Rhinolophus ferrumequinum: one gene and its partners. The protein of the gene in region 4 interacts with the protein of the main gene of each other region in a pairwise test. Links are inferred from orthologs where the notes say so. Each region holds a gene or a part of one and is shown on either strand. Other genes may lie near its edges. The genes, in order: MX1, ETS1, FTH1 and DAXX.

Region 1 (7,229 bases), on a different chromosome or scaffold from region 4:
ATATGGGGCAACCGTCCTAGTAAACCTGAACCTGCTCTATGAGAATTGTGTCCAGTGTTTAAAAACTGACTCAGCAAGGGTTTCCCATAGAAAACTTACAGCTTTTCAAGCACATCCTGTTTTTATTTTAAAAGAAAGTTCTGACTGACTAGCAATACTAAGGCAGTTCCCCGCACACAGGATGCGTCTTTATTTCTTTCAAATGTTTTAAAATAAAAAAAAAAAACAAATTATTAAAAAAAAATTTTAATTCCCATCCCTCATGCCCCTCCTCTGGCAACCATCAGCGTACTCTCTATATCTAAGGGTCTGTTTCCGCTTTGTTTTGTTTATTCATTTATTTTGTTTTAGATTCCCCACATAATAGAGATCATATGGTATCTCACTTTCTGATTGGTAAAATGACAGTCCCTGAAAGCAAAAACGTGTGGGTTTTGTCTGTCCATCTTAAATGTTTGTACCTTTCATGGATCATCTTTGAGGATCGGTTTGGATTTCAGGAGCAGGACAATCTCAGTAAGGAAAACCACTTTCTGACTTCTTCATCACACCCCGCATTCCGCTACAGCTGCCACACTCGCCTGAATGCATTTGCCAACTTTGGCCATCGTGGTGACCCTTAGCTCTCAGCCCATACTGCTCATCAAACGTCTACTCTGGACCCTGCGTTTGCAGACAAGACCGAAGGGAGTTTTGAGGCCTGCACACCATCTCTCCTTTCCAGCTGTCACCTTCCGCACCTCTGCACACCCCCAGTGGGCACTGGTGGGCTACTGGACCAGGCTCTCCTCTCACTCCGAAGCTTGGTTTAGGGAGGAGAGACCCTGCCCAGGTGCAGCAGCCTCTTTCCATTCCTGCCCAGGGCAGCTCTGTGTCCACTCAGGTCTCACTGTCCGTGGGGGTGACGGGCTGGCTGCCCCCTCCACTTCAGATTTCCGGACTGGTAGCTTGCCAGTGGCCTCCAGACTAGAGGCCCATCTAACTAACAGCAGTGGCACTGGAGAATCCCTGCTGTGGGCTGAGGGGGTGGATTTCCGTGCTTGTGGGGAAGCTTCCTGAGCTTAGAGAGCATGCGGCAGCGGGGATGGGAGGGTGATTTAGCGCCCCCACCTCTGCGAAGGACCACATACCTAGCATATCCTACAGACTGCCAGATCCAGAGTCTGCACCTTGCCCAAGAAGGGGACCGAAAGTTTTACATTGTGGGATATTGATTTTCAAGCTGGTTACTAAGAAACAAAAGACCCAGAAAGAACCTTTGCTCCCCCACCCCTTCCTGCTCAAGAGAATCAGACAGAAAAACCTGCTTCAGGGAGGAAACTTAGCATAATGGCTGGTCACTACACAGGGAGACTCCACGCGGGAGCCTGTGGACCATCCCGCCAGAGTCCCATTGTGTGGACCATCCCGCCAGAGTCCCATTGTCTCGGGGTTGGTTGCCCAGCAAGAATTTGCCTGCCAGGCTGTTCCATCTTCCTTAACTACCTGTAAATCACCCATTCTCACTTCTGAAATCTAATACCCCATCCCCCCTTTTCTCCTTTGTCCATAATGTCATGTATACCCAGTGTTGCCTCGCTGCCTGGAATTTTCCTGCTTCTGTGAATTCCCCTTTCATATGTACTAAAACTTGATTTTCTCCTGTTAATCTGTCTCTGTTAATTTGATTATTAACCCAGAGAGAAGCACACAGGTGGGAGGAAAAGTATTTTTTCCAGCACTCACACTCATAAATCAGACTAGATCTTAAAATAATCTCGCAGGACTTACATTTGCATTTTCTCTTGAAAGTGTTCTGCTTTCTAAAAGCCCAGACATTTAAATATTTTATTATTAAACGGGAGAACATCTCCACTTTACCCTAATGCTCTCTCCGTAGACACACTGAGCTGAGTGTCGGGATGTGGGGAGAAGGGAAGAGGAAAGAATGGGGGGGGGGGGTCACCTCGGAGGTGGTGGAGGTGGGGAGAGCAGGTGTGCTCCAAAACAGAAAGGTGACACCCAGCCTTTGGGACTGACAGCTGACGGTTAGTATCACTTGACCGTACTTCCAACAAAAACTTGATTTAAAATTTGACCTAACTCCGAGAAGCCCACATGCACCGCTCTCGGTGGCTGCTGGGTTACTTCCGTCAGCCCCTAGCACATCCTGCCTCGGTTTATCCCCGCAAATGACAATGGACCCGGAGTGTGAGTCTGCCCCACTCAGTGGCACCCTGCTGCACAAACTTAAGGGGCACCTCCCCGGTGGGTGGGGCTATGCGGCGCAGGGCACTTCGGCGCATGCCTGGTCTCTCCCAGCAGGAGGTCCTTCCCACGGGGCTGCGCCCGTACCCAGAGCTTCCTCGCAAGGACGCTCAGCTCCAGCCGCTCATACTCTGCAGGGTCCGTGAAGGCCCTTTGTCCATCAGCTTCCAAGGAATCCCCGGGGCTGACCTGTCCGCTTTGAACGCGTTAGCTGGATAAGTCAACAATAAAAAGTGGTCGGCTTTTGGGGTGGGCTCGGAGACCATGCAGCGGTGGATGTGAAACTTTTTCAGTGCGTCGCCCTTAACCCGCTCTTTCAGAGACCCCATTGGCTCCCATCCCCAGTACCTTCCCACCTCCTCAAGCAGAAAAGCCACCGGTTCGGGGGCTGTTTGGGATCGGTCACCCAGGAGCCTCAGCAGCCGTTGCTCTGAAGTAGAATCAAGCGCGCTCTCGGCCCAGCCAGCATCAGTGTTGTTCTCATTCTCATTCAGCATCATTACTATTACTAGCCCCGCAATGCCCACACCGCCGAGCGCTCCCTCTGCAACCAGCCTCCCTCTGCAAACGCCCTCCTTCGAGCCTCCCGCAGCCGGCCGGAGGGTGCACGGACCCGGGAGCGCGATACTCACCCGTCTCCTCACTGCCGCGAGTGCGGCACCCTCACCACTCTCCGGCTTTAAGTGGTGTGTGTGCTCCGCCCTCCGCTCCAGTCAGGCCAGGCCGCGGGGAAACGAAACTCTCCTACCCCGAGGGGCCGGAGGGAACAGAAACGAAACCGAATCCGTCGCCCCGCCCCCCCACCCCTCCTACCCCCCCCCCCCCGCGCGGAGCTGCAGCCTCAGCAAGGCGCTCCGAGTGCGCGCCCGGCACCAAAGCATCCTCAGCCCTGGGAGCTCTGGAGCCTCGCAGACTCTCCAGCCGCACGACAAGATGGAAGCACACAACCTTCCACCTGAATTGCTGGCGATTCCTTCTCTGCTAAAGAAACATCGATTACTCTGTGTTCTCCCAAACGACTTGTGTACTCTTCGCCCTCGAGGACTGTCCACCAGGCTCAGCGCCCCACTCATCGCCACCATCACACTTCTGCGGGCCAGCCCTTCTCCCACAGGCTCCCGGAGACAGCCTCCTTCCCTGCCAAGTCCCAACTGCGATGTGCCCTATCCGCAGCGGCCCCTGGGAGCTCCTTCCAAGCCTGGGTCGTGCTTCATCCCGCCCCCCACTGGCTTCGCTAAGACTAAGATGCAGTTCATCTCGGATGGATGTCCTGGATTGTGGGGGATGTGGCCCCAGCCCCTGCTGCCTGCGCACCAACGGGTGACTAGGGTCCTCGTACAGCCCTCTCGTCACCTGCTAGGGCTGGCCCAGGTGTGTCAAGGAGAGCTGAGCTGGCATTAATGAAAAGCAATGCTTCCAGCTCCCTACGGCCCCAACTGGGCATTTTCTCAAAACGGGAAGCACACTGCATTCCATAAAAATGCTGCGAGTTGCCCCGCTGCCGGGGTGGGCATTCCTACGCAGCGTGGTGTGCCAGGCCTGCCTGTGCCCTGCCTCACCTTGCCCCAGGACCACTGCTGGGATGTTGCCCCTCTTTGCTGCAGCCCAAGGCGCTCCTCCTCGCCCCCGCCCCCTTCTCCAGGCCTAGGGGACTTGCTCCCTGGGATCCCCGTGTTCTCCCCCACGCCCCTGTGGAGTGGGGCCTCGTCACATTGTCTTGGCCTCTGTGGCCGTGAACATGGGGAGGGACCAGGTCCATGAAGCTTGCTGTTGCACTCGGAATCCAGCATAGTTGCTGGCACAGTGTTTCAATACATGTTTCTGGAAGACAGGAATGAGTGAATGTATGAATGAATGATGGGTAGGACCGGCTCTGGTCTTGCAGACGTGGTCCTCAAGTGACCTCCGGACAGATTCCCTACGCCTCTCAGTTTCCTCCGTAGTCTCCCCGCCTCTCCTTCCCTGTCTCCGTTTCTAGTCAACTCAGATTCGGTTTCAGTTTCTTTTCTCCTCCTGGGTTCACAGAAAAGTAAGTTAGATGAAGCAACAATAGAATCCTAAATCCAGGAGCTGGGGAGAAGGGGGCGGAGCCCCGAGGAGGAGGAGGAGGGCGGAGCCCAGAGGAGGTTCTCTGGCCCCAGGCCTCTCAGACGTGGCTGAACCTGGCCACGGTTCTGCCTGTGTCACGTGCCTCGAGGAAGTGGGGGCAGGAGGGGGGCGCGGGACTGCTCGGCAGCCCTGAACCACTGGGATAATACTCCCACGCCTGTGAGGAGGGGCCAAAGGGCCGGAAAGAGCGCCCCCGCCCAGCGTCCTCTCTGTCTGGCCCGGAGCACTGGTCCTGCCCCAGGTGTCATTGGCCCCAATTCGTTTTCTCCTCTATGTTTGTGGCATAAACCAGTCCTTCTCAAAGGGTGGTGCCCCGACCAGAAGCATTGGCTTCAGGGATTGGGGCCACCCCAAAATCACTGAATCAATCTGCATGTTAAGGGGATTCTCCACGTGTTTCATTTGCAATTAAAGCACCAGAAGGCAGGCACCACCAAGGTTGTTATTTATCTGGTCTTAAAGGGCCAGGCTTTGCCTTCTTATCTGCCCCAGGTCCCCCAGCGAGCCCTGTCCCGAGGAGACAGATACTGAAAGCCTGGTAGAGCTGAGCTGGGGACCCTGGGTCCTGGCTTGGTGTACACATGGCCCAGTGCACAGTCACTGGGGAAAGGTCGGTGGCCATTGCGAAATCGTTTTTTCCAGGATAGGGCCAACTGTCCCTATGGCATTCACCCGATGAAAATTTATTTTTCATATGGTGAAGGCAGGTGTCTCCTGCCTTCCCAGGACCTCTCCCCAGAAGGCTAATGGGTATTGACTCAGCTTGTTCTTTCCATCAGTTCTTCAAATTCCAACTCAGGCTGCTTCATTCCTCCTCTGCCACAACTGGGCTCCACATTTCACAGTACAGGTAGTGGAGAGACCCCAATGCAATATCTCTGTATTAAAAATGCTGTCTCTTGGGCTGGCCTGGTGGCTCAGGTGGTTGGAGCTCCATGCTCCTAACGCCAAAGGCTGCCGGTTCGATTCCCACATGGGCCAGTGGGCTCTCAACCACAAGGTTGCCGGTTCGATTGCTCAACTCCCAAAAGGCATGGTGGGCTGCGCCCCCTGCAACTAAGATTGAACATGGCACCTGAGCTGCCGCTGAGCTGCTGGATGGCTCAGTCGGTTGGAGCATGGGCTCTCAACCACAGGTTGCCAGTTTGACTCCCGCAAGGGATGGTGGGCTCTGCCCCCTGCAACTAACAATGGCAACTGGACCTTGAGCTGAGCTGTGCCCTCCATAACTAAGATTGAAAGGACAACAACTTGACTTGGTAAAAGTCCTGGAAGTACACGCTGTTCCCCAATAAAGTCCTGTTCCCCTTCCGCAATGAAATCTTAAAAAAAAAAAAAAAAAAATGCTGTCCCTTGGTTGTGAAGTGTTCATAGAATAGTGACTCCGTCAGGCACTGGGCTAATTTCTCTAAACACATGATCTTCCAATAGAGCAAAAACTAATCAAATAGGAAATGGAGATGTGGAGAAAATGGAGACGTGGAGAGGTAGACGCTTTCCCCCCACAAAGCTAGTGAGAAATGGAAACTGGGTCCTGTTGACCTTTAAAAAATAGCCAGATATTTCTCCAGTAAAATGGGTTTATTTGGAACAATAAAGAAGTGCAGTTCAGGTCATGCAGCCTAATGGCGAATCAAATAAAAGTCAGAGAATAAAAGAGAGGAACTTCTTTGTAGAGGAAAGAGGAGAGTTCAGAGGGGCTGTTGTAAACAAAAAGTCCATTGGAGGAAACTGGGAGTTTGTCTGAAGTTTAGTGGCTTTTCATTGGCTGAGTTGTAACCATCTTTTTTTTTTCTTAGTTTCAGGTGCACAAAACAATGTGATAGACATTTATCATTTATGTCCCTCACACAGTGACAACCCCCCCCTCCACTACCCCTCTGACATCGCACACAGCCATTACATCTCCACTGTCTCTATTCCTAATGCTGTACTCTGCTTCTTGTAACTATGTGTGTGTGTGTGTGTGTGTGTGTGTATACATATATAATTGTAGTTGATATTCATTATTTTTTTTTAAAGATTTTATTGGGGAAGGGGACCAGGACTTTATTGGGGAACAGTGTGTACTTCCACGACTTTTTTTTCCAAGTCAAGTTGTTGTCCTTTCAATCTTAGTTGTGGAGGGCGCAGCTGAGCTCCAGGTCCAGTTGCCGTTGCTAGTTGCAGGGGGCACAGCCCACCATCCCTTGCGGGAGTCGAACCCACAGCCTTGTGGTTGAGAGGACGTGCTCCAACCAACTGAGCCATTTGGGAGCTCAGCGGCAGCTCAGCTCAAGGTGCCTGTTCGATCTTAGTTGCAGGGGGCGGAGCTCACCATCCCTTGCGGGACTCGGGGAACTGAACTGGCAACTTTGTGGTTGAGAGCCCACTGGCCCATGTGGGAATCGAACCGGCCGCCTTCGGAGTTAGGAGCATGGAGCTCTAACCGCCTGAGCCACTGGGCCGGTCCCTGACATTCACTATTGTTCAGCTTCAGCTTCAGGTGTACGGTGCAGTGATCAGGCATCTACACCATCCCTGAGGTGGTCTCCCTAATGGGACAAGTGTCCATCGGATACCCTACAAAATCTTTACAACATTATTGATTACGTTCCCCAAATTGACTTTCGTTTCCCCGTGGCCATCTTGTGGTTACCGACTATACTTTCTAATCCCCTCACCTTCCCCCTTATCCCTCCCCCACCAATCTAGCAACCCTCAGCTTTTCCTCTATGTCTCTGAGACTGTTTCTGATTAGTTCATTCATTTATTCTTTTCTTTAGATTCCACATATAAGTGAGATCATATGGTATTTGTCTTTCTCTGTCTGACTTATTTCACTTAACATAATGTTCTCTAGGTCCATCCATATTGTAACCATCTTTCATTGG
Region 2 (7,447 bases), on a different chromosome or scaffold from region 4:
CTTTTATTTTTATCCTGTTTTCAGGTAAAACCTTGCCTCCTAAAATAAATTATGTTAATTTAAAAAATGGAGTTTATGTATTGTTGCTTCTGTACCCATCACAGCCCCCAACACAAGGCTGGGCACAGAATAGAAATTAAATCAACATTTGTCACGAGAGACTGAGGAAGAGACTAGACCTTGTAGCCTTTCTTCAGTATCTTCCTAACAGTGAAGAATTAATACAGATTCCCCTTTGGAAAATAAACTTGATCCACTGTGCTCTTCCAGATAAAAGCAAATCCTAGGTCTACGCAGAAAAATTCAGCCTAAACTTGTGCAAGTGTTCCAAAGCTACTCAAGGTCCTGTGAGATATCACCCCAGACACAAGCCCTGGACTCACATTCCTTCAGTTTTAATCAGGTCTCCCCCAAAAGTTGGTCCTCATCTGTTAAATGGGGATGACAAGATGCCCACCTCAAAGACTTCACTGTAGATGAAATGACTGGTCCATGCAAAACACCTAGCAACAGGCCCCGCAATGGACCAAGTGCTCAGTAAACAGGAGGGATTATTATCCTGCCTCACTCAGGTGAAGTGGAGGAAACCAGGTATTATATGCGGATAATCATCCAGATTTAAAAAATGAGCTCCCTAAAGCTACATTTTCAGTAGAGCAGGGACAGAGGAAATGAAAAGGCAAAAAAATGAGTTATCTTCATATCTAAGTTTCTCCAAGATTAAAGACTCACAAAATTTGCCTCCAATGGCATTAAATTGCTGCATACCACATTTATTTTGTTCAAATACGAAATACTTTTTAATTTCTATAAAAGGGAGAGAGAGAAAGAGAAAAAGGGAGAGAGAGAGGAAGGGATGGAGGGGAGGGAGGTCTGATGCCCAGCTTCTGGGTTGTAATCCCTTCCCTTTGCTGTTTGATGCAGAAGTGAGAATTTTGAATGCTAATGAGGAAAGGAGAGTTGCTGTGGCAAACAGATCTGTTCACCAGTAAATAAAATCATGAGGTCCAGCAGAACTGGAATGATCAGTAAGAAATTCGGCTGCGCCTAACTGAGGCTCCATGTACAGTCAGGAGAGAAACATCAGAGTTAATTATATTTACTTTTGTTCTCTCCTCTGTATGACATAGGTGGGGCACAAATCATAATTTACAACTTAGAGATGAAGAAAAAAAGGCATGGTTACGTTAAATAACTTGTTCTCAGTTACAAAGCCAACCTCTAATAGGACCCAAGTGCACATCCACTTTCCTGACTCCAAAGCCAGGGCTGGTGCCAGTTCTTATCTTACTCACCTTTGAATGCCATTATACTCAGAGGCAGGCAATTGGCCCAGGTCCGTGCCCTCAACCAATTCTCCAAGGTCATAGATACCAGATATTGACAATTACCTCCTTTACCCACCCTCCCCCAGGGCTCTACTCTAGGACCTCCTGGCACCTCTACCAACTAGCACCTCTGTGCGAGGGGCCTGTAGGACAAAGATGCCCCCTCTGTAATCAGACTCTCACTTCCTACATCCTTGGCTGCAGAACCAGGACGGAAGAGTCTGCGTGGCTGCCTCCCCTGTTTGTTTTTTCACTACTGAGTTGGCAAGGATGGAAGTTGTTGATTTACAATTAGAAGCAGCATGCATCTTCAAATATTAATATTAATAACTACAATGCTGAACACATGAAAAGGTCTTTTCATCTTCAAAGCACTTTGCAGACATTAACTCATTAGCTCTCCCTTCCCTCCATTCGGAAACAACAGGTAAGAATCTCCGTAGCACTGGTGGCCACCCAGCAGCCCTCCAGGCATATGTAGCAAAAGGTTTTTCTCTTTAGATAAAAAGGAGGTGATGCAATCCAGAACCACAACTGATGAAAGAGTCAAAGCGTCAGTCATTTTACAAATCAAATGGAGCTGCCAGAGTTATCATTTTAGAATCTGTATTTTCTGTTACTTAACAAATATCTATCTTTTCAGTTGCACAGTAGTGGTATGAAGTCGGAAGAAAAATGGCCTTGAGATTAAAAAAAAATAAAAAACTTACCCAAAAGATAATAAGAAAAACCTATCAATGAAATGCCTTGATCTCAGTAACCCAGCATCTTTTCCAATAGTTCACCCACATAAAATGCTACTTTTAAAGGGGGTAGCAGAGACATTTTAACAGTAGATGAGAAGCCACAGACAAAGTGGAATTGCCAAAGAAAATCACGGAATGCGGGGAATGGCCATCCACACACACCCCTTGCTCTTCAATGGCAGAGTCCCTCAAGTCCAGCTCTGCCGTGGAGGGGACAAATGTCCCCCTGACTCAGAGACCCCCTTCTCAGCTGCAGTCCGAAGGACAGGGAGAACCTTAGAGAAAGGTGAGTCACAAGTCAGGGAAAAACACCAAAAAGGCTAGTTTGGCTTGTTATATTCAAACCTGTAGCAATTTCTTCTCCATAAAAGCAACTCATTAAGCTGCTAAGAAAAAAAGAAAAAAGAAGTAAAACAATAGGCTCGCTAGGAGTGAAAGACAAAAAGAAAAAAAAATCAAAAGAAATTATTACATTTAACTTTAGCTCTTTGGAAGTGTTCCAATAGGCGAAAAAAATTCAGACTTTCTGACAACTAATCTGTGAGTATCAAAAACGTGCATGATTTTGCTTTTATAAAGCAGGGAAAAGAGTGAAACACTCTTGATTCACACTATTCAAACAAGATTAGGAAGTATTTTTGAAAATCATTATTAAAGAATTGAATGGAAAATACAGAAAAATGTGAAAAGAGAAAGAGAAAACCCGCCTGTATCCTGAAAGTCCTCATCAATTTGCCATTTCGTTACACAGAATTTAAAGAAGAAAAAAAAAAGGAAAAGGAAAATGAACTGCAAAGTTTTAGGCAGAAACTCACACTTCACTTACTACTTTGCTGGAGAGACTGGGTGAAGAAACAGTCCTGAGTGAGCTTCCCTCAACGACTGTGGTCTCCTTCCAACTACCTGCGGGAATCCTAGGCTCGATGGCTAAAGGATGCAAAGACCATAATGTTTCTAATAGAGCTGCCTCCTTAAATTGGGGAGGTGTGGTCAAGCCCGGGAAAGCTGGGAAAAAGGCAGGGTTGCGCTAGCCCCTGACAGCACAGAGGCAACCACTAGAGCAAGTTTTTCGGTCTAGGTGGTAAAGCAAATAATGTTACAGGCTGAGATAGCACCAAATCACACCTTATTTTCCATCCTTCAAATTATCCTTCCATTAAATATAACTCAGCCTTGGGGAGTAATTGGGAGGGAGACGAACAAAAGGGAACTAGCTCAATGAGATAACACCGGCTTTCAGCCTTTACAGATGCATTAGATTTACTCTCTACTGAATATGTGAATATTCATGATTCACATGTCTTGATTCTCAATGGAGCTTCATTTAACCTAGGCAAAGGGTCAGGAGAGGGAGGGACTGGGGAAGAATCCAGTCAGGAAAGGCTGTCAGAAGAAAGGATGTCTACTACCACCCAGTCACATGCTCAGGCTTCTTGTTTATCTCTATTAACATGATGTGAGATGTGATATTTTTTAAGGGAAAGAAAATGATTCTATGGAAGAGAGTTGATGGAATACGGTATAGCCCAAATACGCTCATCATGTAAACCTGCTTTTAGATGATCTCTAAAATAGATTAGCTTTAGTGCCCTGATTCATAGTCCATGGTGCAGGAATGAAATGGTAGAAATAGTCATATATTCCCAATTTAGAGAAAATGTAAACAATGTGAAAATCTTGCATCTGTGCTAGGTGAAAACATAGCATCTTTTATTCACATAGTCAGAACTGTGGTAAGAATGTTGCAGTGGACTATCATTTCAATAAATAGGGCTGTTTCCTTACAGAAATTTTTGTCACTGTGGCTGCTTAATTTAACACTTTTATCCTGAAAGATTCCTTTTTCTTTGAGTAATAGAAGGGATTTACAATTTGTCATGGTTGGCTCCTTTCCCTTTCTAATGAAGACATAATGCTTGATGTTGAAAGTCTATGAAAATCTAATAAATGTCATTCAGAGCAACATCATCATTATCCTTCATTGTATAAAGCTGGGAGAGCAGTTAAAATGGTATTGTAATTAAAACAAGATTTTACTGCTCATCTTTTGCCTTTGCAGATTAACATGGCTTAATTTAAAAGAAAGGAAGAGATAGTGCTAATGGTTCAGTTTAGTTTAATAAATATCTATGCCAAGCTCTGTGCTAGGCACTAGGAATATAACAAGTTGACACTATGGTGGGAAGACAGAAACATAAATCAACCATCCCAATAAAGTGCGCTTGCTACGAGGTATAACAATTAAGTCTGTGAACTCATCCTAGAAAAATGCTACATATCTCATTGTTGAATATTACTACGGTCACCTTCAAAGTACTCCCCTTGGGGAACTATGCACTGATGCCAGCACCTAGTCCACCCTTCAAAGCAATTCTGGAACTCTTTTTTTGGAATGGCCATCAGAGCTGTTGTATTACACTTGATGTCTTGAATGTCATCAAAATGTCTTCCTTTCAATATTTCCTTTATCTTCGGGTAAAGAAAGAAGTCATTGGGGGCCAGATCAGGTGAGTAGGGAGGGTGTTCCAATACAGTTATTTGTTTACTGGCTAAAAACTCCCTCACAGACAGTACTGTGTGAGCTGATACATTGTAGTTATGCAAAAACAATGAATTGTTGGCAAAAAGTTCAGGTCATCTGACTTTTCCACACAGCCTTTTCAGCACTTCCAAACAGTAAACTTAGTCAACTGTTTGTCTAGTTGGTACAAATTCATAATAAATAATCCCTCTGATATATAAAAAAAAAAGGTTAGCAACATCGGTGCAACAAGTTCATGAACTTAATTGTCAAACCTCGGAGGAGCGAAGTCTATGAATAGAGCTACAGAATATTTGGCCCACCCCCTATACCTCACTTGGTTCCATTTAAAGAGCCCAGGTTGGGGGTAGCCGGTTAGCCTAATTGGTTAGAACGTGGTGCTTGTAGCACCAAGGTTGCCGTTTAGATCCCCACATGGACTACTGTGAGCTCCGCCCTCCTTAAAAAGAATAAAACAAAACAAACAAAAAAACTGGTATTTCCCAAAGAAAATACTCTTAAAGAGCCCAGGTCAATTAAACCAATCACAACTAATTATAACTGTATTACTCACTATGTTTGCAAGGGAGTTGAACAAAATAGAGAGAAAACTTGGATTCTTGCCCTATAAGGGTATACAGTGTGATTATTGAGGAGCTCTGGCATCTGGAGTTGTCTACACAAAGTTCATATGCACAGCAACCGTTTAGGACCTTAACTCTGTCCTCTACCACTACCTATCATAGTATGAAAAAACCTAAGCTAGAAATCTGAATGCTACACAATAAACCACCCCTGGCATAAATTGCTTAGAGAATGCCCAAAAAAGCAGCAAATTTTGTTTTAAACAGTATCTTCAAAAATATAGTATTAGATCGGTATCTACATGTAAAAGAATGAAGTCAGAAGTTAACTTTACACCATATACAAAAATCAACTCAAAATTGATCAACGACCTAAAATGTTAGAGCTAAAAATCATAAAATTCGTAAAAGAAAACATAGGAGGAAACTTCATGACATTAGATTTGGCAATGATTTATTGGATATGACCAAAATCATGGGCAACAAAAGAAAAAGTAGATAAGTTGGGTTTCATCAAAATTAAAAACTTTTGGGCAGCCGGATGGCTCAGTTGGTTAGAGCTTGAGCTCTTAACAACGACGTTGCCGGTTCAATTCACACATGGGATGGTGGGCTGCGCCCCGTGCAACTAAGATTGAAAACAGCAACTGGACTTGGAGCTGAGCTGCACCCTCCACAACTAGATTGAAGGACAACTTGCCTTGGAGCTGATGGGCCCTGGAGAAACACACTGTTCCCCAATATTCCCCAATAAAAAATTAAAATTAAAATTAAAAACGTTTGTACATCAAAGGACTCAAGAAAGTGAAAAGGCAACCCAAAGAATGGGAGAAAATATTTGCAAATCATATGTCTGATAAGAGGTTCATATTCAGAATATAGAAAGAACTCTGACAACTCAACAACAACAGGAGCAACAACAAAAACTTGAATAATCTGATTTAAAATATGGGAAAAGAACATGAGTAGACATTTCTACAAAGATATACAAATGGCCAACAAGCACATAAAAAGATAGTCAACAACACTAATCATTAGGGGAATACAAATCAAAAATACAATGAGATACTACTTCACATCTATTAGGATGGATGCTAAACAAAAAACAGAAAATAACAAGTGTTGGTGAGGATGTAGAGAAGTTGGAACCCTTCCACATTACTGGTAAAATGTAAAATCATACAGCCACTATGGAAAACAGTATGGCAGGTCTTCATAATATTAAACATAGAATTAAGATATGATCGAACAATTCCACTTCTAGGTATATAATCAAAAAAATTGAAAGCGGAGACTGGAACAGATATTTATATGCCAATATTTATAGCAGCATTTTTCGCAGGGGCCAAAAGGCAGAAACAACTCAAATGTTCATTGACAGATGAATGGATAAACAAAATGTTTATGTTCCAAACAATGGAATATTATTCAACTTTAAAAAGAAATGAAATTCTGATACATGCTACAACATGAATGAACCTTGAGAATAGCATACTGAATGAAATAATTCAGATACAAAAGAACAAATATTGTATGATTCCATTTATGTGAGTACCTAAAATAGTCAAATTTTAGAGAACACAGAGTAGAGATCTCCAGGATCTGGGATGATGGGGAATGCGGAATTAGTGTCGAAGGGGAACAGTGCTTCCGTTTGGGATGATGAAAAAGTTATGGAGGTGGATACCACTAAACTGTACAATTAAAAATGGTGTAAATGGTAAATTTTAAGTTATGTATATTTTACAACAACAACAAAAAATGTCCTGAAGAAAAAACTGTACAGCATTAGGGTCAAGTAAACCGTCCACAGAAGGAATGCTTTCTTATCAACATGGATGGTCCAGGGCAAAGAAAAAGGATCTTCCAAAAAAAGAGGGTATGAACTCATCGGAAGGATCACAGGAAACTCCCTCCACTACACAGACTCCCTTGGTCTCTCAAGGTGGGGATAAAAGTAGCAGCCCAACGTCACAAGTTTCTGGAAATTACTGTATAATTGAATGATTGTGTAAACAGTAAACTGAAAAGGCAATACTAACAGTTCTTTTCCATGCTCTGCAATATTGAATTCTATAGGAAAGGACCTCAGTTGAAACGACTACATATTATAAGATTCTTGAGGAAAAAATTGAAACCCAGTGACCTAGGAGGCATGTACATGGTGGGACAATTAAGTTAACGAACTCATCCTAGAACTAGTGCTACATACCTCATTGCTGAATATCACTACAGTCACCTTCAAAGTACTCCCCTTGGGAAGCTATA
Region 3 (6,917 bases), on a different chromosome or scaffold from region 4:
AATTAAATGGTTAGCCCAATGGATAACAAAAAATCAGTACTTGCAAGACTACTTAACCCTTTTGTACATAAAAATTACAAAAGCTAGAATGAATCACTGGAAGGAAACATGTTATTCCAAACAGCTAATTCAGAATCAGGAGTCCTTTAGTTCTGTCTGAAATCAGCACACACACGAACGAGCCTTGGTATCTTTCCCAAACTTAGGAGTTTCATACAACTAAGGATTTTCCTAAGTACAAATCCTCGTAGGCGTACTTCTTTTTGATCGGTGTGACTGAACTGTGGGCCTAGATATACTTCTAGCCCATCCCCAAAACTCAAAGACAACAGCTGGGTACCAAATTACTTTATTTGAAGAAATGGTACAAACGAAAGAACGTAAATAGATGATTTGGTACAACTTATAGAAAGATAAAGGTAACCCTAACATGCACGTACTGCTCTGGTGACCAGGAAGTCACCCCCGTGGCTACTGGAAGCCGGCCAAAGGCTTAGCTCTCATTACTGTCTCCCAGGGTGTGCTTGTCAAAGAGATACTCTGCCATGCCAGATTCAGGGGCCCCCATCTTGCGTAAGTTGGTAATGTAGTCACCCAATTCTTTGATGGATTTCACCTGCTCGTTCAGGTAATGAGTCTCAATGAAGTCACACAACTAGAAAACAGAATAGGGAAGAAAGTTATTGGCCAGCGTTCCCAGCCCCCGAGGGAAGCGACTTCCTCCATTTATTCCCACGTTGCCAACACTCACATGGGCATCGTTTTTGTCAGTGGCCAGTTTGTGCAAATCCAGCAGTGACTGATTCACACTTTTTTCCAAGTGTAACGCACATTCCATTGCATTCAGTCCATTCTCCCAGTCGTCACGGTCTGGTTTCTGAATGAAAGGAAGTTAGGTCAATGCATCTATAGTCTCTACCAATAAACCGCAATTCAGCAGGTACCTAATGTAACCAGCGAGCTTTGGCAAAAGGGACATCTGAGTTTCCCTTGACGACAGTTTCCAATTTACCATCCTTGCTCATTACTGGGTGCCTACTTTAGCTAAGATGGTAGGCCTGAAAGAGCACGAAAGGTAAAGGCCCAAAGTATCCTTATTTTAAAAGGGCAACTGCTAGTCTCTGACTGATTTCTGACACCTGAGAACTGCTCGACTATGCAAGTGTGACAGCTGTAGGACCTTTTGTTCACCTTGACATCCTGAAGGAAGATTCGGCCGCCTCGCTGGTTCTGCAGCTTCATCAGTTTCTCAGCATGTTCCCTCTCCTCATGAGATTGGTGAAGAAAATATTTGGCAAAGTTCTTCAAAGCGACATCATCGCGGTCAAAGTAGTAAGACTGTACGTGGAATGTGAACATGTTACGTTAGGAGTCAGGTTGTGTTTCTAGATTGAACACAACAAAATTAGTTTCTACTTTTCAAATCCAAAAATGAAACCTGGCCCTTGAAATTCCAAGTTTACGACAAGGAACCTTTACAATACCATAGGAATACCAGTATGGAATGTCTGAATCGCCTGTATTACTGCAAAATTCTTACGGCCAGTGTCCAATTTCCCTGGAGAGGCTGTGGGAGTATTTACCCTGCATTATTAGCCCCTCCTCCCTGATCAACCCCTTTTACAACAGGAGCTTGCCAGCTTCTGGCAGACTGAAGGATTTCTAAAATTAACTTACTAGGCAAGGTGACAACTGTGTGCAATGCTAATGGAGGTAAATATCATTACCAGTAGAAAGCAAAAATTTGATTCGGTCTTGGACACTTGCTGCATTTAGGTGTTCCTCAAATGGAATGGCAGTCATAGAAATTCAGGCCTGTTTTCAAGAACATGTCTATTCTTGGATAATTTTCATGATCCTAAGACAATTCTAACTAAAACTCCCACCACATCGACTAACACCAGGATTTTGAAAAACGGATTCCACTGATCACGACAGAGAATAATTCCTTGCCCAGTAGCTGTCAGGGGGTTTCATCCCAAAATTCAGGGTTCAATTATTAGAGGGCTACAACTCTTATTACAGATACAAAAAAGACAAAGAATTAAGCACCCAGGCACTAGGCCGGGTGACATAGACAACTTCCTATCCACAGACAGGGAGATTCTAGAGATAGGCTTCAATTCAAGTGGGACTTAGAGATAAGCAGAGCAGAGGGGTGGAGACAGCTGCTCGGGAGTGGTCGGCCCACCGGAGATAAGTCACTTAGCACCAGCCCCAAGGCTGCCATTCGACACCATTACGCAGGAGGCTCCGCCATACCCAGGGGGATGGTAGCTGGACCTCTTCGTCCTTTACCAAAGAAAACAGAGGGTCTCAGGGACACGTAGACGCAGAGGATGGGATGGAAATGCAAAACAAATCTACCTTCCTAACTGCAGGGCTGTCTAGGTTTTAGGTGCTGCAATCCCGGGATTTCAAGAACCCAGGCTCTCCTTACACATAAAGGGGTGCGCAGAGGAGGCCTTTGCCTATGACGAAGTCCTCCCAGGGAGCAGTCGGCAAGAGCTAACTGCCCAGAACTTCTGCGCAAGACCAGTCCCGGGAGACCCGGAGCAGCCTCCATTTTCCCGAAGGGCGCCCGGGGCGGGAGGGCCGCCCGGTAGCCACACCCCCGCTCCGCGCCCGGGCGGCCGCCCCCGCGCCTCGGCCCTCGCCCTGCAGCCGGGCTACGCCGTGCCCGCTCACCATGGACAGGTAGACATAGGAGGCGTAGAGCTCCAGGTTGATCTGGCGGTTGATGGCGGCCTCGGAGTCCTGGTGGTAGTTCTGGCGCACCTGCGAGGAGGTCGCGGACGTCATGGTGGGCGGCTAAGGAGAGGCGGCGGCGGCGGCGCTGTTGCGGTGGCGGGAACCTCAGGGCGGTCGGCAGGCGCTGTGAGGAGGTGGCGGAAGGCTAGCCCTGAGCAGCCGGCGGGACGGGGGAATGAGCGCCGGGTTCCGTCCAAGCACTGTTGAAGCAGGAAACCACGGCAACTCCAGGCGAAGACTGTGGCGCAGGCCGCTGCCTCCGGCCTTTTATAGCGGGAGCGGGCGTCAGGCTCGCGCTGACCAATCGCGCGGATCGCCCGTCGCACCAGGCCCCGTCTTTTCCGGTGGGCGTGAGGCCCCGCCCCGCTGGGCCGGTGGGGGAGGGGAGGCCCGGAGGCCGCGGCGGGTGCGGCAAAGCGTGCGGCGGGGGAGGGTGGCTGTGCGCTCGGTGGCGCGCTTGGTGGGTTTGAAGGGACACAGTGGGGAGGGACGGGAAGCCCAGCTCGGAGCCCGGGCCCGCGTGGCCTCCTGGGTCTTGGAACCGACGGGAAACTGCCCCGGGGCATCAGGACGACTCTCGTCCCCAACGACACCCCGAGGCTCTGGGCCAAGGCCAAGGGCTTGTTAATGTGAGCGGCAGAGCAGCAGTTAGCACACCCCGAGGTGATCACCTCGTAATGCCAGTTGGGAAACTGGATATGGAAACGTGGGCCCTAGGAAGCCGACTGAGTCTGGTTGGACTGGGAAAGGACACACTTTCTCTTCCTCAAAGTCTCCGAAGCTGCAAAATGGAGGCGGAATGGGGGGGCCCACGCCACCTCGGATCAGCCCCCGCCCGCCCGCCCTTTACTGAAAGCAAATATGGCTCCTGGTGCAGTTTATACAACAAAGGCTGGGCGGGCCGTGTTTCCCGACAGACATGAAACCGCTTTCCCTGTGGGAGTCCTTGAGATGAGCCCCCTGGGCCTGAGAAAATCACTGGTGGCACTTTGAAACTCAGATGGAAAGTTAGAAAAAGGAGAAGAGACTTGGGCGCGCATCTGGAGACGATGCTGTGTGGCCATTTTGAAATGACCTCTTTTATCAGGTGCGGTTTGCACCGGGGACCCTGGAGGGGCAGGTCCACTGCATGTGGCTTGCAGCTATGACCCAGGCACGCAGTGGGTGGAAGAACTAGAGCCAGGCTCGAGCTCCTGTCCCCCAGTCTGCTGGCTTCGAAGTTCACTATTCTTAGCCAGGTCCTTTGACACGGGGGAGACTTATCCAAGACCCCTTTCAGGATGCTAACCTGCAACTGGAAGCTGGACTTCCAAACCTAAAAGAAACTACTAAAATGTTAAACCAAGTTGCTGATGGAATTATGGCTCTTTCTCTTGGGTCTTTATTCATTTCAAAATAAACGGTACTTTCAGGGAAAAAAAATTTAGTGGGGCCAGAGCTTCAATAAAGTAAGCAGAAGCAAGCTGGGAGAGGAGACAAAGGGTGCCTTACTCCGCCTGGGATAGGAGATCAGGGAAGGTTTTCCTAAGAAAGTAGCACTTGCGCTGTGTGAAGAAAAAGTTAAAAGGAAGGTGAAGTGGAGGAGGGAGATGAGGGAGAGAGAACTCTCCAGGCAGAGAGAACAGCATATGCAAACGTGTAAAAGTGTGGAAATGTATGGCCTGTCCAAGGTACTTTAAGAAAGAGTATAGGCCTGGAAAGTAGTCATGTTGGAGAATGCTGGAAGGGTAGTCTAGGGGCCAGGTCAGGAAGGAATGTGTGCCGTAAAAAGGGGTTAAATTTTATCCTGGATGATGTGGAAACACTAAGGGATTTCTACCACATTAGTTTTGTTTTTCAGAAAACTTACACCGAATCAACAGAAAAACTATTAGGATAAGAGTATAGCAAGTCATCAGTCACAAAGCTTTCCTGTATAATAATAACCATCAGTTTAAAAATGGAATGAAAGACAATTTTTTTCGTTTACATTGGCAACAAATGCTTACAGTATTTAGGAATAAAGGTAATAAGAAATGTGTGAAGAAAACTATAAATATTTACTGCTGGACAGAAAACTTCCATCAATGAAGAGACACCATGTTTCTAAATAACCAACCTCAGTTTTGTAAAGATGTCAGTTCTCCCAAAATAAACCTATAGATTCAATGCAATTTCTATGAAACTGGTTTTTTTGGGAACTTGACAAAATGATTCTAAACTTCATTTGGAAGAGTGAGTGTGTAGAATAGGTGATAAGTATGTGGGGGAAAAGATTATGGGGGTAGATTTGCCCTCCGTGATATGTGTGTGTGTGTGTGTATATATACACACACACACACACACACACATATGTAAAAGTATAAGGTACTATGAGCAGTTGGTATTGGCAAAGGAAGAGCTGACTATATCAGTGCAACAAAACAACCCTACCCACGTATGTATAGGAACTTGGTAGATGCTAAAGTGGTAATTTAAATTAGGGGAGAAAGAATGGGTTCAGGGCTGGCCCGGTGGCTCAGGCGGTTAGAGCTCCATGCTCCTAACTCCGAAGGCTGCCGGTTCGATTCCCACATGGGCCAGTGGGCTCTCAACCACAAGGTTGCCGGTTCGACTCCCACAGGGGATGGTGGGCTGTGCCCCCTGCAACTAGAAAACGGCAACTGGACCTAGAGCTGAGCTGCGCCCTTCACAACTAAGACTGAAAGGACAACAACTTGAAGCTGAACGGCACCCTCCACAACTAAGATTGAAAGGACAACAACTTGCCTTGGAAAAAAGTCCTGGAAGTACACACTGTTCCCCAATAAAGTCCTGTTCCCCTTCCCCAATAAAATCTTTAAAAAAAAAAAAAAAGAAAAAAGAAAGAATGGGTTCAACAAATTATGTTGAAACAATTGACAGTCATGTGGAAGAAGATGACTCACTATTTCAAAACATGTTCCAGCTGGATTAGAGATTCAAGCTTTAAAAAAATCTATGAAGTTACTAGAAGAATATATAGAAGATTATCTTTTAGAATTTTGGGATAAGGAGTGTTCTGAGGCTGTCGAAAGCCATAAAAGGACAGTTGGCGATCTGACTACTTAAAAATGAAAAGTTCTGTTTAGAGCGTGGTGCTGGTAACACCAATGTTGCTGGTTCGATCCCTGCATGGGCCACTGAGCTGCGCCCTCCTTAAAAAAAAGCTCTAAGACAAAAGATGCCATAAACAAAGTTAAAATTCAAATGACAAATTGAATTGATATTTGTAGCTCCTATAAGTAGTGACGATGAATAAACATACTATATATATTCATATGTATAATTATATACATATAAATCACACCTTATAATTGTCTTCCCTGCTACTGTATACTGTAAGCTCGAGGGCGGGCATCCTGGGCTCCCAGCATTGTGCAAGGTGCTTGTTACTTGGTGCTCAGTATTTGCTGAATGAACAGATGGATGCACGATTGAATGTGGAAGATGGATTAAAGTCAGGCCAGAGGGTTGGGTACCAGTTGGGAGGCAACAGCCCTAGTTCTCAGTGAGCAAAGAAGACAGAAAGCAGATCTGAGAGATATGGAGAAGACAGAACAGACAGAATGAGGTAGCTGATTGGATATTGGGGGTGGGTGGTGGTGAGGGGTGGGAGGTGGGCAAGGGAGCCTCCCACCTGGGCTGCAGCTGCCATTCACTGAGAGAGAGAGCACAGGAGGAAATGCAGTTTCGGGGAGAGGCCATTGGGGAAGGCAAGCTAGGTTTTGGACTGGAGGTGCCGAGTTTCAGGGCCTCCAGGACATGCAGGTAGCCAGAGCCAGCCTAAAGTTGGACCCACCAGAATGAAGTTGGTCTGTTGCAGAAAGAGATTTCATGAACCAGTATTGGCTCTGTGCTTGGTTAAACACATACACAGTTGTCGAGAACGTCATGGCAAAACTGAGGGACAGTCTGGGCTGTAGAAGTTCACTGGGGAGGCCAGCTGGGAAGAATGAAAGGGAAGTCTTGTGCTGGGTGTGTATGTGTGTGTCTGTTTGCCAGGGTGTCAGAACTGCCATCTCCAAGCTTCTAGATTCTTCCAAAGCTGGAGCCTGGTCTTTGGACCTTTGTTGACCAGAATTTGGCCTCCCTCCCCTTCAGCCCCAGCTCCTCGTGACTTTGAGGAGGTGGAGAGTTTGGCTGGCTTCCAGGGACCGCAGCCTCAG
Region 4 (6,883 bases):
TAGCAGTGAGATTTTCCTTGTCATACCTGCTTCCTCCTCTTCCTCCTCCTCCTCTTCATCCCCCTGACCTTCCTGCGTCTGTTCCAAGTCCTCCTCCTCTTCAGAATCTGTGACCTCTTCCTCCTCCTCCTCCTCCTCCTCCTCCTCCTCCTCCTCTTCCTCCTCCTCCTCTTCTTCATCACTTTCCTCATCTTCGTCCTCGGTCTCAACCTTGAAGGTGGTAGGGCACTCCTGGGATGCCATTCCACTAGGGCCCTGGGGGACAAAGGACTTTCTCTAATGAATCCCTTGCCCCAGAGGGTCTGGTTCTGTGTTCCTTCCGCACACTCCCCCATGGGTCACCGTGGAGTCCCTGCTGGCCAGTGCAGGGGAAGGACAAGGTGTCTCTGAAGGGTAGATCCCTTCCATACCTCACCAGAATCCAAGGAGCCTTTGGGGGGGTCCACAGAATGGGAAGAGGTGGCTTGGGGGAGCCGGGCTCTTCTCTTCTGTCTCTCGCCCTCCTCACTCTTGTCTTGCATCATCGCATATTTGGAGATGACTTCATCCAGCCGGCTCATAGCTAAGCTCCGGTTTTCCCGCAGGCGCCGGGCTAGGGCAGGATCTGACAGTGCGGGGTCAACGCCTATGTGGAAAGATATGAAGTCAAACCCTAGAAGAAGGGACTAGAGAGATGCCCCCTCTACCACACACCTGATATACACAAGGGTTATTGATGGGCATCACTAATCCCTACCTGGTGTATAGTCATCTGTGAGGTGACAGCCAAAGTTGTAGATGAGATCAAGGTGGCGTCGCTCCTGTAACCTGACGCCCACGTCTCGGAAAGCATCCTGAGCCATGAGCTGGAGCTGCTGTCGGGGGAGGCCAAGGCTGTGGCGGGCAGCTGCCTTCTCTACAGCCCGCAACACATCTCCATAGTCAGGGAAGGCATCAGGCCCCGGCTTGTTGATGAGCCGTTCGATGCGCCTGTTAACCTCTGGGTAGCGAGTCCCACGGTAGGGAATGCGCTGCTCTATGACCCGGCCTGTCAGTGAAGAGCAGTCTTTCAGTTCACACAGCCGCCCAAAGAGTCGGATTAGCTTCCGTTTCAACCTTGCCTCCTGCAAGTATGTGGAGTCTGGGTCATCCAATTCTTTGAGATCCAGCTCTTTTTCCTGCAGCCTCTGAATCTCTGCCACATAGATTGCTAGCAGTTGCTCCAAACGCTGGATCTGCCGCCGGGAACCACGGGTCCTTGGGGCCTCAGAGCCAGTGGCCTCGGCATTTGTGGCATCCGTGGAGGTGTCTGTGGGAGGGTTACTCCCAGAGGGCTCGCCAGAGGTGGTGGCAGCAGGGGCCAGGTTCAGCTTTTTCTTGGCTGAGTGAGCCTTGAGAACAGTGCAGAGCTCGTTAATGTGGACATAGAGCTTAGCTGGCCTGCTCTGGGCCCGAGACAGGACCCGAGAGAGGATGTTGTAAAACTCCGCTGAGGCCAAAAACAGAGAGTGGGCACGCTGCTGCCGTTTACAAAGGAACGGGACCACGTCAGGGTGGTCTGCTGTCTGCGCCTTACACAGTTCAAGGAACTGGAGGGTTCAGGGGAAGAAGGGAGGGGGAAAGAGACAAGGGAGGGGGTTGAGAGAAAGAAGGCATGGCGGGATTAGTGGGGGAAAAAAGGACAGGAGAGCCAGTGAGCCACCCCCTCCCTGGGGTACAAGAATCTTCTCCCCTAAAGCTCACCTCTTCAAACAGCTTCTCATTCTCCAACTTGTAGCATTTCTTGCCGCCCGAACTACTGCTTCCTCCAGCCCCATGGGGCTGGGAGGAGCCAGGGGCTTCTGCCTGGGGTGAGGCCGGATTGGGGGGTGGGTGAGAGGGCCCTGGCTGAGCAGCTTCATCTTCGTCATCATCATCCAGCACAATGATGCTGTTAGCGGTAGCCATGGGGGATCAAATCCCCCGGAGGGAGGAAGTGTTGGGGATTTCGTATTTCCTGCTGGAAGGGGACGGGGGCCTTAGAAAGAGCCCCTCCAGCATAGCCCCATCCCTTCAGCTCACACATTTTTCAGTGTTCTTGGGTTTCAGTAACACCCAGCCCTGCCCAACAGTGTCCTCACTGCCTGTCTTCAGCAACCATTAGCACCATGTTTTCTGGGGCCCCAAACCACCTGCGACCTCAAGTCCCCACCCCAGCTCCACTCCCCATATCCACGACATCTGGTCTTTCAGTTTCCATTCTCCACTATTTGTCTTAGTTGGCAAACTGCCTTTTCCTCCCAGCCTCCGGGCCACCACCTCCCACACTGCACTCCAGATTTCACCTCGCACAGGTGCTACACCCGTCAGCGCCACCATTGGCTCTCAAACACGTCAAACCCACACCCTCACCCCATCCTGAAGGATCTCCCCAACTTCTAGACTCTGAGGCGAAGAAGGTTCCCTCTCAACCATACATTCACCCCTTGTAATGTATCTCAGATTCCACCCGCCGAAGGGTCTCAAACCGGGGAGTCAGGTTGGAGGTATTTCACCTCAAGACCCTTCCCTCTCACCCCACCCTAATTTTCCTCATACTCTCGGTGACCTGTAACCGCTCGTGAGCCCCGCACTGGGCTCGCCCGATTCCTCTCGGATCCCAAGCCTAAGTCCGGCCTCTTCCCCTAGATGAGCTTCCCGCCAAGTCCCCCTCCCCCAGTTCAGGCCCCACCCGCCCCACTCCCCTTCAGGGATAGGAAAGAAAGCTTGCCCCTCAGACTCAGCGCCCGGGACTCCCCAACACCTCTCCCTCGACATCCCCACCCCCACCTTCGACCCCCGCACAGTCCGGGCCCCACCTCAGAAACAAACGGCCTCTCCAAACGACTCTCACCGCAGATATCAGAAGCTCGCATGGTTACCTCCGCCTTCCTTCCCCCTCCCACCGCAGGCCCGATGCTGGACCGGAAGCCGCAGAGTTTCCGCCTCCAGTAACCTAAGCGCCATATTCTCGTACGGAACCCAGTCCCCCCCCCACCTCCCCCTGTGGCCGGAAGTGACAATAGGTCCGATCCCCGAACGTTTCTGGAGCTTCCTACATTGTATGCGGCTCCCTTCCGCCCGACCTGTAGGAGGCGAGCTTATCCCCGCGGCGCTTCCCTAAGTACCTGGGGGCCGTCATTTTGCCGTACGGCGTTGACTCAGCCCCGACTCCAGAGCTCCGCCAGTGGATGTCTTTCCACCCAGCGCTTCTGCGACTCCGCGAATCAGAAACTTCCTGCCTCCCGCCCAACCGCCGGCTAGGCGCGTGCCGGGAGGACTGAGCCACCTTTCCAAGTAGGGAAGGGGGGAACGGAAAACGGCCGCTGAGGAATTGGGCCCTCCAAGGCTACGCACTGGTGCACGAAAGGGCGGAAACCTCTCACGAGGGAAATAAAACCTTTTCCTTTCGATGGGCTATTGACCAGCCTTCCCGCGTTGCTTTCCTACCTGCCAGGTACCCGTCTCCACGGCTTACTCCACGGCGCTTGCCCCTTCCCGTCTTTGGGCTGCGCACTCCCTTGCCGCTGTCCAGCAGCTTCTTACATCCTGGCGTCTCCAAGTGTTTTGAATCCAGGTGTTCGTGACATCAAAACACTTGCACACAAATAATTACAACGCCCCACACAATGTGTTATTGTTATTATTACGATTGTTGTTTTGCTTTTCAAGCTTCACCACAGACTAATTACCAACCAAGCAGGTGGCACCTACGTGATTCTCCGTACTTTTCTGAAGGGGGTCCCTGAGGCTCAGGTAGTCATGACCCAGAAGACGTGCTTTGTCCGGGAGCTTCGGGGCCTAAGGAGTGGCGATATGGGGAGGCGGAAGGGAGTTAAGAAGAATCTCTGCGAATTGCCACTGTAAGGGCTGTAAGATGAAATGAGGCTCGGAAAATACCGCGGGTCTCGTCTCCTCTTCTTTCTCTGGGAGAGCTGAGGAAAGAACGAACAGAGAAGACACAGACTTTGACGCCCGCCTCACCCGCATCCCACCTCGCCCACTTTTAGGGAGGCTGGAGGGACTCATGGAGGCAAGGCTGGGTCCAAAGGTGAGCTTCTGGGGGAAACCGGAGAGGCTAAGACTGTTCCAATGGCTGAGTTGCTCCCCTCTACATCCTTGAGCATTCCACAAGTGGTGAGCATCTTATCACTTTCTAGGATCTCCGCGGTCCCTACACGTCCAAGCCTCAGAGTCCCAGAACCTCAAACGCTCCCTTCCATTAATCTCACATCTCTTCTTTCCAGTCGTCTAAACCTACAGTCTTCAAACTGGGGAAAATGAAAACTCCCCAAAGAGCACTTGGACTTGGGAGATGTTAGAGATTTAATTTCCAGATCCTCAGCTTTCCCAAAATTTCTCCTGAATAAATACCTACAATAGAGGTTCTTTTTCTTTTTCTTTCTTTTCTTTTCTTTTTCATTTTAAGATTTTATTGGGGAACAGGACTTTATTGGGGAACAGTGTGTACTTTCAGGATTTTTTCCAAGTCAAGTTGTTGTCCTTTCAGTCTTAGTTGTGGAGGGCGCAGTTCAGCTCCAGGTCCAGTTGCTATTGTTAGTTGCAGGGGGCGCAGCCCATCATCCCTTGCAGGAGTCCAACTGGCAACTTTGTGGTTGAGAGTCCACTGGCCCATGTGGGAATTGAACTGGCAGCCTGGGCTTTAGGAACACAGAGCTCCAACCGCCTGACCCACCAGGCCGGCCCTAGAGGTTCTTTTTCTTCCTTTACCCTTTTACAGTAGACTTTCTCCCTCTTAAAAAAAAAAAAAAAGTATAGTTTTCAACCCTGAAATCTGGAGACAGTCTTACCTAGTGTCAAATAAAGAGCTATGTAGCCAACTTCTTTCATTAAGGCACCATAAACACCACCTCGTCTATCTCATTAAAAACATTTAAAAATTTTTTAACAATTATAAAAATGTGTACAATCTTCATGCCATTTGATCGGTTCTGCTCTCATAATAATTGTAATGATAACCCTGAAGAAATTTTTTTAAAAACTAGAGTTTTGGGCAGGCCCAGCCCGGTGGCTCGGGTGGTTGGAGCACTGGTCCTTCTAGTGCTCAGGTCAACAGTTCAGGTGGCCGGTGGATTCCCACATGGGCCAATGAGCTGCGCCCTCTACAGCTAAGATTGTGAAAAACAGCTCTCCCTGGAGCTGGGCAGCTGTGAGCACCCAGAGGTTGACGTAAGCTGCCATGAGCAGCGGTGGGCTACCGTGTGCTGCCAGGCGCTGGCCAGCAGTGTTGCCAGGAGTGGCTGGCAGCCAGCCGGCGAGGTCTGCCATGAGCTGCTGTGAGCAGCCAACTGAGGACTGGCGATCCACTGCCTCAGCCGGGGGAGCGCAAGGTTCATAATAGCAGCATGGGCCAGGGAGCTCTGTCCTACACAACTACACTGAGAAACAGCGGCTTGAACTGGAATGGGGCTGGGAAAGTGGAGGAAGAGGGGGAAAAACGAGTTTTGATCATAAGAAAGAAAAATATTTTTCATCTCAGACTTTTAAGTATAAAAGCATAAAATTGTCTCTGGGGAAGGGGAATGGTAATGGGAGTTCAAGGAGAAAAGAGAAAAGGAATGATTCCCAATTGTTAAGAGCTTATTTATGTATTTTTAAATGGATGATAGTAGGTATCAAATCACTCTGATATTTCAGTTCTTCTGGACATTCAAAAGAGTGATTAAATGTTTTATTTTAAAATGTAAATATTTTCAATATGCCAGGAATTACATCCTTGAAACAATTTTTAATTATGATGAAAATTTTTAGATGCTTACTGAGAAATATAAACCTGAGGAGTATAAACCTGTTCAAAATTATTTCCTAGAGTATAGGTGACGAAATTTTAAGACAGCTGCTCTAACCTCTCTAGGTGTCCCCTCCACAGCCCCCAACAGTCCCATTTCCCCCACCTCCCCTCTCACCTCTGTGGCAGAGTAAGAGGATGTTTATAGGAAAGGTGGTCACAATTCGAGTTCCTCCTCTTTCTGAGGTGACCTCAAGAGCCAGTGCCCAAACTTTGCCCATGGTAGTGGCCACAGCAGCTTATAAAGAGCCTCCAGCAGTAGTAGTGTCAGAAAGAAGGCCAGGAAGATAAAGAAGGCCTTGTCTAAGGCCCGACGTAGGGGACCCCTGGAAGGAGGAGGACCCTGGGCAAAAGCCAGGAACACATCGTCCTCATCCATGTCACCCTCCTCCTCTGCCATTGTAACCTACAGTCTGACAGCTGGCTGGATCAGGGAGGCTAGGCTGGAAGCCCTTGCTCAGCAATGCCAGGATTAAGGGGCGTGGTGGGGCAAGTCCTTCACCTGCCTGGTTTGACCCTAATTCCCCCACCCGAGAGAGAAAGGAGAGTAGAGCTTCTGAGCTTTTGGAACAATCATGTAATTATCCAATGCAATGTGAATGGACTGGACAAAATAATTCCTAAAGTCTGTCCAGCATTATAATTTTGTTTTGGAAACTGAAGGCCCAACATACAGACATGAAGCTGGAGCTGCCCAAGTCATTCTGGGTCTCTAGGCTCAAGGCTCAAGGGCTTGGGCCACCACAGATAGAGCATGAACAAGTGGACCTAGTATGCTACTGTGAGCTGCTGTCAGTCAAAGATCTAAAGGCCATTCCAGCTTTACAGTGGGTAATTGGGGTGGGGGCGGGACTCTCTTAACCAAGGCTGGTGGGGGACAAGCAGCTGCAAGAACCCAAGGAAGGGGAGGTTTATTAAAAAAAAGAGAGAGAGAGAGAGAGAGAGAAACACCATGATTGGTCAGTGGGGCAAGGGTTTATGATTGAGATTTAACTGTTGGGGCAATAATAATGAAGAGTGAGATTTTTCTGTGGGAGGTCCTGGTCTGAGAGTTGCTGAGAAATGTCCTCCAAGAGA

The links.
Region 1: the proteins of DAXX (region 4) and MX1 interact in a two-hybrid assay, tested with the Homo sapiens proteins (2 studies listed by BioGRID). The link is inferred for Rhinolophus ferrumequinum from reciprocal best matches to the Homo sapiens genes DAXX and MX1.
Region 2: the proteins of DAXX (region 4) and ETS1 interact in binary tests that used the Homo sapiens proteins (3 or more experiments, as listed by UniProt). The link is inferred for Rhinolophus ferrumequinum from reciprocal best matches to the Homo sapiens genes DAXX and ETS1.
Region 3: the proteins of DAXX (region 4) and FTH1 interact in binary tests that used the Homo sapiens proteins (3 or more experiments, as listed by UniProt). The link is inferred for Rhinolophus ferrumequinum from reciprocal best matches to the Homo sapiens genes DAXX and FTH1.

What each region holds. Positions count from the first base shown.
Region 1 is NC_046285.1:105,591,687-105,598,915, reverse strand, and holds the start of MX1 (interferon-induced GTP-binding protein Mx1), read right to left. Parts: upstream 3,021-7,229; 5' UTR 2,880-3,020; intron 1-2,879.
Region 2 is NC_046308.1:28,898,032-28,905,478, forward strand, and holds the start of ETS1 (protein C-ets-1), read right to left. Parts: upstream 3,014-7,447; 5' UTR 2,901-3,013; intron 1-2,900. UniProt on the Homo sapiens protein: Transcription factor. Directly controls the expression of cytokine and chemokine genes in a wide variety of different cellular contexts. May control the differentiation, survival and proliferation of lymphoid cells.
Region 3 is NC_046294.1:9,007,251-9,014,167, reverse strand, and holds FTH1 (ferritin heavy chain), read right to left. Parts: upstream 3,007-6,917; 5' UTR 2,803-3,006; coding exon 2,689-2,802; intron 1,339-2,688; coding exon 1,192-1,338; intron 878-1,191; coding exon 752-877; intron 656-751; coding exon 494-655; 3' UTR 334-493; downstream 1-333. UniProt on the Homo sapiens protein: Stores iron in a soluble, non-toxic, readily available form. Important for iron homeostasis. Has ferroxidase activity. Iron is taken up in the ferrous form and deposited as ferric hydroxides after oxidation. Also plays a role in delivery of iron to cells.
Region 4 is NC_046286.1:3,663,024-3,669,906, forward strand, and holds the start of DAXX (death domain-associated protein 6), read right to left. Parts: upstream 3,003-6,883; 5' UTR 2,874-3,002; coding exon 2,826-2,873; exon of another isoform or gene 2,817-2,825; intron 2,200-2,816; coding exon 2,195-2,199; intron 1,979-2,194; exon of another isoform or gene 1,927-1,978; coding exon of another isoform or gene 1,910-1,926; coding exon 1,723-1,909; intron 1,569-1,722; coding exon 737-1,568; intron 626-736; coding exon 411-625; intron 256-410; coding exon 27-255; intron 1-26. Other genes in the region: SMIM40 (small integral membrane protein 40), read right to left, coding at 5,964-6,206. UniProt on the Homo sapiens protein: Transcription corepressor known to repress transcriptional potential of several sumoylated transcription factors. Down-regulates basal and activated transcription.